Saccharomyces cerevisiae S288C: one gene and its partner. Changing the gene in region 2 together with the main gene of any one other region gives a genetic interaction. Each region holds a gene or a part of one and is shown on either strand. Other genes may lie near its edges. The genes, in order: IDP3 and AAP1.

Region 1 (3,893 bases), on a different chromosome or scaffold from region 2:
TTCAATAGATGCGTCTAGAGAACCTAAAAACAATCTAGCACCAGTTAAGAAAAAATTTCCAATGGATGCACTCTCAAACTGAAATGGATTCGAGTGTTTGATTTTTTTCAAGAGTTCTGCTTGCATATGGATAATAAAAGAACGACACATTTCCTTAACTTCTATCGAAATATTTTTCCATATGGGATGCGAACCTTCCACTATTTCATTCCATTCTTTCTTAGCTAATAACTTATCATTAGGTAGCCTATGGCCAAACAACTCGACAAGCTGTTCATCTTGAAGTAGTCTCACTATTCTAGATCTGATATCACCAATTGCTGGGCCACCAACTATTCGTAGAATTTCACTTGTGGACCCGCCATTATCTGATATTGGCAATATATACGTCAGCTCATGTCCTTTTAAGATAGAAATATTAGAAAAGCAAGGAGTCAATGAATTTGTGGCAGTCCCACCGGAGCACACAACGACGTTCATCTAGTAAACTATCTCACCACACTCTGCTATTTTGTCCCCTTATTACCTCGAGGGAACAAAAGATTCCGTTTCCTCTCTTTCATAGTCCGCCTAAATAGCTTAAGAAATAAACCCAAACATCACACATTAGCGTTCTTTAGGAAATACGAAACAGGTTAATACAACAGTAGTAACTTTCCACATAATATCTAAGCATTACACGCTGAAAAAAACTCTTTATTGGATATCAACAACCCAACACATTGTACGACATATTCTTTTATCGTTCTACTATGGTACCCTGTTCAAATCTCTTTTTCTAAAATGAGCGAAATTTTCGAAAATTATCGCATAATTTTTCATCATCTTAAATTAAAAAAATACAGTGTCCTCTATTGTTTATCTCAACAGAACGCACACATTCTTGAAACTTGCTCACATAACATAAGCTGGAGTGACATAGCATTTATATATATACAAGGGAAATGGTCAAAGCTGTTATTTTTACCGATTTCGACGGTACCGTTACTTTGGAAGATTCTAACGATTATCTGACCGATACTTTAGGTTTCGGTAAGGAAAAAAGATTAAAGGTCTTCGAAGGCGTGTTAGATGATACTAAGTCTTTTAGGCAAGGTTTCATGGAAATGCTGGAATCCATCCACACCCCTTTCCCTGAGTGTATCAAGATCTTAGAAAAGAAAATTCGATTGGATCCTGGTTTCAAGGATACATTCGAATGGGCTCAAGAAAATGATGTCCCTGTCATCGTTGTTTCCAGCGGAATGAAACCAATTATCAAGGTTTTATTGACCAGATTAGTTGGACAAGAGTCTATTCACAAAATTGACATTGTTTCCAATGAAGTGGAAATCGATGCACATGATCAATGGAAAATCATCTATAAGGATGAAAGTCCCTTCGGACATGACAAATCCAGAAGTATCGATGCTTATAAAAAGAAATTTGAATCTACCTTGAAAGCAGGTGAACAAAGACCCGTTTACTTTTACTGTGGTGACGGTGTTTCTGATCTAAGTGCTGCAAAAGAATGTGATTTGCTATTTGCCAAAAGAGGTAAAGATTTGGTCACTTATTGTAAAAAACAAAACGTCCCATTCCATGAATTCGATACCTTCAAAGACATCTTGGCTAGCATGAAACAAGTTCTGGCTGGTGAAAAGACAGTCGCTGAATTGATGGAAAATTAGTGCAAGACTCTTACGAAATATTAAAGTTTAATACCGTGTAACTGCCTCTTACATATGTATGCATATATACGTACGTACTATATTTTTCTTGTATATCTTTTTTATTGTCTGAGAGAAAGAACATCAAAAAATAAAGGAAGATCCTCCTCGGATTTAGCATGCTTAATGCCGAATCTTTAATACAAAACGAATGATATTTCAAGTATACTAATTAGAAATCAATCAAACATACCAAAAGGGACAGTAAAGAGAAAAGCAGGAGCTCTCTTTTAGGGGAAAAGTAAAATGTGATTAGTATTTCGTTGCGTGTACTAGTCAACTCTTCTTGTCATTCTTAAATTTACATTAATTACCCCAATTTTGCATCTTCGTATATAAGAGTGTTCCCCTTATAAGCTTTCTCCTGCACATACCTGCAGTAAACACAAGCAACACTTTAGAGATAGTTGTCCAAGTTAAAATGAGTAAAATTAAAGTTGTTCATCCCATCGTGGAAATGGACGGTGATGAGCAGACAAGAGTTATTTGGAAACTTATCAAAGAAAAATTGATATTGCCATATTTAGATGTGGATTTAAAATACTATGACCTTTCAATCCAAGAGCGTGATAGGACTAATGATCAAGTAACAAAGGATTCTTCTTATGCTACCCTAAAATATGGGGTTGCTGTCAAATGTGCCACTATAACACCCGATGAGGCAAGAATGAAAGAATTTAACCTTAAAGAAATGTGGAAATCTCCAAATGGAACAATCAGAAACATCCTAGGTGGAACTGTATTTAGAGAACCCATCATTATTCCAAAAATACCTCGTCTAGTCCCTCACTGGGAGAAACCTATAATTATAGGCCGTCATGCTTTTGGTGACCAATATAGGGCTACTGACATCAAGATTAAAAAAGCAGGCAAACTAAGGTTACAGTTTAGCTCAGATGACGGTAAAGAAAACATCGATTTAAAGGTTTATGAATTTCCTAAAAGTGGTGGGATCGCAATGGCAATGTTTAATACAAATGATTCCATTAAAGGGTTCGCAAAGGCATCCTTCGAATTAGCTCTCAAAAGAAAACTACCGTTATTCTTTACAACCAAAAACACTATTCTGAAAAATTATGATAATCAGTTCAAACAAATTTTCGATAATTTGTTCGATAAAGAATATAAGGAAAAGTTTCAGGCTTTAAAAATAACGTACGAGCATCGTTTGATTGATGATATGGTAGCACAGATGCTAAAATCAAAGGGCGGGTTTATAATCGCCATGAAGAATTATGATGGCGATGTCCAGTCTGACATTGTGGCACAAGGATTTGGGTCTCTTGGTTTAATGACGTCCATATTGATTACACCTGATGGTAAAACGTTTGAAAGCGAGGCTGCCCATGGTACGGTGACCAGACATTTTAGAAAACATCAAAGAGGCGAAGAAACATCAACAAATTCAATAGCCTCAATATTTGCCTGGACAAGGGCAATTATACAAAGAGGAAAATTAGACAATACAGATGATGTTATAAAATTTGGAAACTTACTAGAAAAGGCTACTTTGGACACAGTTCAAGTGGGCGGAAAAATGACCAAGGATTTAGCATTGATGCTTGGAAAGACTAATAGATCATCATATGTAACCACAGAAGAGTTTATTGATGAAGTTGCCAAGAGGCTTCAAAACATGATGCTCAGCTCCAATGAAGACAAGAAAGGTATGTGCAAACTATAAACCAATCCGCCATTCATTTGAAAAGACAAGTCTGGCCTAGGGTTATAGTGTTCAGACTTGAGGTTGAACATATCCAAAAAAAAAAATTCCTATGATGTCTTAAATACGTATACCTAATAAAATAATTCTAGACTATATTCAACTTACTGTAACCCTTCACCTCACTATCACAGCTGACGCATGTAGCAAATCCTTTATAACCCAGAGATATCCTACAATCATCGCATAATGCAAGGCATCTACAGGGCCAAGTTACAATATTTCTTTTATTAACTTTGCAGATTAGGCAGGAGAGATCCATTTCCTCCACTTCGTCGCAACTATCAAAGGCAAAATCAAACTTGAACTCTAATTTGTCATCGTCCTTCATATTTAAACGTTTGTACATATACCTGGAGTTTGTATGATGCAGAAGGCGTTCAATAACAACATCGACTAGTACACCTTGTGGGTTTCTTTTACCATATTGTGATCTAGTCAACGGTCCATTAACCTTATTA
Region 2 (5,151 bases):
ATTGGATCAATAATAAAGGTAGGATCATCAGTAATCACGGTCTCCCCTTTCACATAACTTTCCTCTCCAATAAACTTGAAAGTTGGATATTGGGTTTTTACCGATTCCCAAATTAACTTTTCGACCTGTTTATCGATAGCAGTTACAATATCAACGCTCCTGGAGCCAGTCTTCAAGTCATAATCCTTTTGAGTGCCGGACTTGGATTTGATGATTGGTCCTACTTTTTCAGTAGCCAGTTCACAGAGGAATTTCTCGATAGAAGCTAGATCAATGGTCATGGTATATGTGTATATGCGTGTACCAGCTGTTGATTTCCTTATTCATCCAAAAAAAAGAAAACACTGGGGTTATTTAACAAGCAGTTAAATGTGAAGTAAGAGATAAAAGACCTATATTAATACCATTTTTGGAAAAGCAACGTGCGCAACAATGAAAGTCACTCGATGCATCCATTATTCAAAAAAAAGTTTTTTTTTTTTTTCCATACATCATCAGATGAAAAAATCTCGCTATGACGCACGCCAGTCAATATTCACTCAGTTCTTCCGAAAGGAAGCAGAAGAAAGTTCTCTATACTTGGAAATGTGTCAATGAAGATGTTATCAGATTCATTTTCTGCTAGCTACTATATTTCTACATAAGCAAGTAGTAATCTCTTTATTAATTACACGTGGTTTTGACTCATTGGCATATGTATATATTTGTGTTGTAGGTGCTCGTGAAAAAAAAAAGCTATTGATCATACTCATGCTCACGCAAGTAGGTAGCAACGATTTCACGATCTCTGCTCACCCATTGCGCCTTGGATCTAATAGTGTCTAAGGCTTGAGCCAGGGTTTGATCAAAACCTTTAGTGACCTTTCTACTATAGAACGCACTAATTTTTTCAAGGGCTTCAAAAGAGGTAAAATTAGTTAAACCCAATGTCAACACGCCACCCAACACAGGCGAGCCTGGCTGTAATCTCTTAGCAATTTCGTCCCAGTGTTCTTGCATCCAAGCCCATAACCTTTCAATACCCTTCTTATGAACTCTAATGCCTTGCATTGGGATGTAAAAATCTTGATTCAAAACTGTACCATCTAGCAGATAAGACAATGTCCTTTCTAAAAGTTCTTTGTCTTCAAATCTGCCCAAAGCTCTCAAAGCGATAATCTTTTCTTCTGACGAAACAGGGTTTTGATAGATGTTGAAAATCTTTTCGTAATTGTTTTCTCCGCCAAGTCTGGCAACGGTGTTGAAAACAACTGCCTTGAACAGTGCAGGTATGGCCTGTTTGTTCCCATTGGCGTATTCCTCAAACATTTCTACCGCAATCGATTGCATTTTTTCATTGCCAGAAGTGCATGCGGCACTGAAAAGGGTCACTTTTAAACGTTGGATAGCAAAGGAGTCGTCTTCGCCAATATTCCACCCCAATTCAGAAAGTTTGTTAAGTACTAGATCCAAAGTAAATTTATCTAGAGCATTCAATATATCCTCTGGTTCGAAGACCCAAGTAGATTTCAGAGCGGATAAACTATTAATGATTTGTTCCCAAACAACAAATGAATCCTCGTTTTTCCAATTAGAAATTAAATTCAAGAAGTTAGTAGTAGAGGTATAGCCAGATGCAGAAAGGGCTTTTGCATCTGCGACTAAGCCAACACGATCCTCTACGGATAATAAATTTGCCTGTTTGGATAGCTTAGCCCATCTTTCGTCAGAATAAGAGGTAATGAAAATACCAGATTGGTCACCATTAATCTTGAAGAACTCTTCATTCTTTAATTCGAAAGTAGCAGATTTTTCGTTCAATACCAATGTGTTATCGATACCTGTACTGTCTTTCAAAGCTAACAAAATGGGGTATATGGTTGTATCTTCCTCTTCTTTAACATCACCGGTACTTAAATAACGGTGTTGAGTTAATGTGATTTTGTTCTTGTGTTCCTTGACAGATAACACTGGAAAACCAACACGTTTTGTCCAGATGTTCATCACCGAACAAACGTCCTTGCCAGAGGCATCTGCTAAGGCGTCCCACAAATCTCCGGTCTTTGCATTACCGTATTTGAATTTATTCAGGTATTGGGACACACCTTTAATAAAAGTCTCTTCACCCAACCATTTGGAAATCATCCTCAATAAAGAAGATCCTTTAGAATAAGAAATAGCATCAAAAATTTGATTGATTTCGTCCGCATTATTAACGGGAACTTCAATTGGATGGGAAGATCTTAATGAATCTAAATTTAGAGCACGTTGTAAATTGTCAGTAACATATTGCTCCCAAACTTTCCATTCTGGTTGAAACTTGTTGCAAGAGTACCAAGACATCCAAGTGGCAAAACCTTCATTCAACCATAAGCCTTCCCACCAATCCATGGTGACCAAGTTGCCGAACCATTGGTGGGCTAGTTCATGCTGAATAACCTCAGCAACTCTTTGAATGCGATCTAAACTCGAATTTTCTATGTCTAATAACAAATCAATAACTCTATAAGTCACTAGCCCCCAGTTTTCCATAGCACCAGCAGAAAACTCATGAACTGCCACCATATCCATCTTTGGCAATGGATATTCTATGTTGAAGGTGTCCTCAAAGAATCTCAAGGTCCTAGCAGCTAAATTGGCTGCAAACTGACCAAATTTTTCGTCCCCTGGGGTAGAATAAACTCTTACTGGAATACGGAAATTATTGCTTTCCACGTATCTCAGGTCAGCTACAATAAATGCTACTAAGTACGTAGACATCTTTGGAGTCGTGTTAAAAGTTGTATATTTCTTACCCTCTTTGATTGTTTCATTCCTGACATCCATGTTGGACAAATGAGTCAGAAACGATTCAGAGACCAAAGTTACTGCAAAAGTCGCCTTCAAATTTGGTTCGTCAAAACAAGGAAAGGCTCTTCTAGCATCTGTGGCTTCCATCTGAGTAGTAGCCATGTACTTCGTCTCCCCTGTGACTTTATCCGTATACTTAGCCCTGTAAAATCCCGCCATCTGATCATTTAGAATACCGGAAAAGATAATTTCTAACTTCGCAGAAGGTCCTAGGTTTTCAAAAGTTCCATTAGGAAAGACAAGAGTAGCTTTTTGTTGGTTTTCGTTTTTGTTAACTTCAATGGCATTGACACCCTCAATACGTGCAGAATGGAAATCTATTTCTAAGTAATTTATTTGCACAGAGTTTATCGAATGATCATTAATCTGCAGGTCAATTTTTAATGACCCTTCAAACGTAAAAGCACGGAAATTAGGTTCTAGTGTAATGTCATAATGCAATGGGGTAACGTTGTTTGGCAGTACTTCACGGGACATGGTATTAGCTGAGAGGGCAATTTGGCTTGCTTGAACAGGAACCCTCAAAGAAAAATCACGAATTGAATAAGCTTCCCTGAAGATAATTCTAAATGATTAGCTAAGATTACTCATAAAGTCAAAAGTTTGATCGCTAACAAAAGGGAAAAAAACGGAAAAAAAATAAAAAAATGTGTCAAACTCCCACAGCCAAGTCCAAGAGTACGAAAAAAAACTTTCACAACGAGTTCAAAAAATGTGGGATGAAGACTCCCGTTTTTCACCGCCTAGAAAACAGCGTTTGCTGAGAAAAAAAATAAATCATCGAGAAGAAGTATGTCATCATAGGATGTTCCCATTGTAAGGTGATGTGTAACATACTCGAACAAAGAATGTATAGAGCTGAATATTTCTCCTTTAAATTTCAAAGAAAATGAGAAGGAAAATCTCAAACAGAAACTTCGTTCTTTTTCTCAAGTAAGCAAAAGCTTATTGAGACAAAGCGGAATAACTACGATATTAATAACGTTGATGAAGCTCGAACAAAGTTAGCGTCGGTTATGCTTGCCTATATAAAGATATATTTGCCTTACATTTTCGTTGAACGTAGAATGATTTTTGCTTTTAATAAATTTTTTGTTGTTCTTTCAGTGCTTCTTCAACTTTGATACGAAAGCAAGTGCATTAGTACAACAAGAACTGGCCACAACTATACTATACTCATTTTTTCTTGCCCGTGTTTTAAATGTTTTCATCCACAGCATTTGATGGGATGATTGGAAGTGAGACGTTCGAGAAAATCCATATTTTGAGTCAAGAATTCAGATAATATACTGAGATGATTAGGTATGGCTGGGTTCTACAAAAACACAAATATCCGGCTAGCAATGATCACTGAGCAAATTAAAGCGTTAACTCACTCATTATTGTAGCTTATGCGTTTCTCCTCCTCTCTTTTTTTCCTCGAACCGGAGTGGAAGATCCAATAACGTAATATTACTGATGTTGTTATTAAAGCTGGCAAAAATAACATGAGGCGTAAAACCGCACTGCGGTAAGATGAGGGTATAAGGTGGAGATCAGGCGAACAAGCTGTTCTAAATCATACATATGTACAATGAGAACGTGTAACGATCCAATGAGCGTTTCATGATGCCATTGTTTAATCAGAGTGATGAAAAAGAAATATTTGCGACCTTTTTTCGTTACATTGATCGTGAAATTTTAATCAAAGATAATATAAGGACGTGAGATATTTATCTTTTTACTTGAAATTAACAATAGAATTGCGCTAAGCGGAATAAGAGCTTTCGTAAACCTTTCTATTTGCACCATTGCGTCAACGTATAAAATGGTATGACCTTTACACAAACGCATGCTTATAATCTTATGTTTTTCATAGGGTGTAATTTGGTTGATGACGTAGTCTAAATTTGATGCTATCTGCAATTGAGGTACATATAAGAGGTCAATTTCGGGACCAACCCTTTTAATCGAAAAAAACGTAATTCACTAGGGCAAGGGAGAACTTAGCAGCTAATATCGTAAACCTTTCATACTAAAAAAATGCACTTACCATCAACAAAAAACTCAGGACCAATTTCCAAGCTTTTCTAGGTGATTGCCTATAACACAAAAAGATTCGCTCATACATGAGATTTTTACATGTAATAGCAATTTGTTCCGATCAGTTGAAGGTCATCAACGCACGGCAGGTACATCCACACCTATCACAAAGCCCTTCAATAATTCACCTACGTAAAGTTATACCGAAACATGCAAAATCCATGAAAAATTCTGTATGATAACGATCATATCCTTTTGTATTGGTGGTACGATGCTCAAAGATAGTTATTGTTGCACCTG

What was found.
Region 1: mutations in AAP1 (region 2) and IDP3 together harm fitness less than expected from each alone (positive genetic interaction), as found in Saccharomyces cerevisiae (one large-scale study listed by BioGRID).

Annotation. Positions count from the first base shown.
Region 1 is NC_001146.8:612,691-616,583, forward strand, and holds IDP3 (isocitrate dehydrogenase (NADP(+)) IDP3), read left to right. Parts: upstream 1-2,130; coding exon 2,131-3,393; downstream 3,394-3,893. Other genes in the region: YNL011C (uncharacterized protein), read right to left, coding at 1-480; PYP1 (putative phosphoric monoester hydrolase), read left to right, coding at 945-1,670; putative ubiquitin-protein ligase ASI3, read right to left, coding at 3,521-3,893. UniProt on the Saccharomyces cerevisiae protein: May function in the production of NADPH for fatty acid and sterol synthesis.
Region 2 is NC_001140.6:198,005-203,155, forward strand, and holds AAP1 (arginine/alanine aminopeptidase), read right to left. Parts: upstream 3,307-5,151; coding exon 736-3,306; downstream 1-735. Other genes in the region: inositol monophosphate 1-phosphatase INM1, read right to left, coding at 1-281. UniProt on the Saccharomyces cerevisiae protein: Positive effector of glycogen accumulation. May be involved in nutrient-sensing.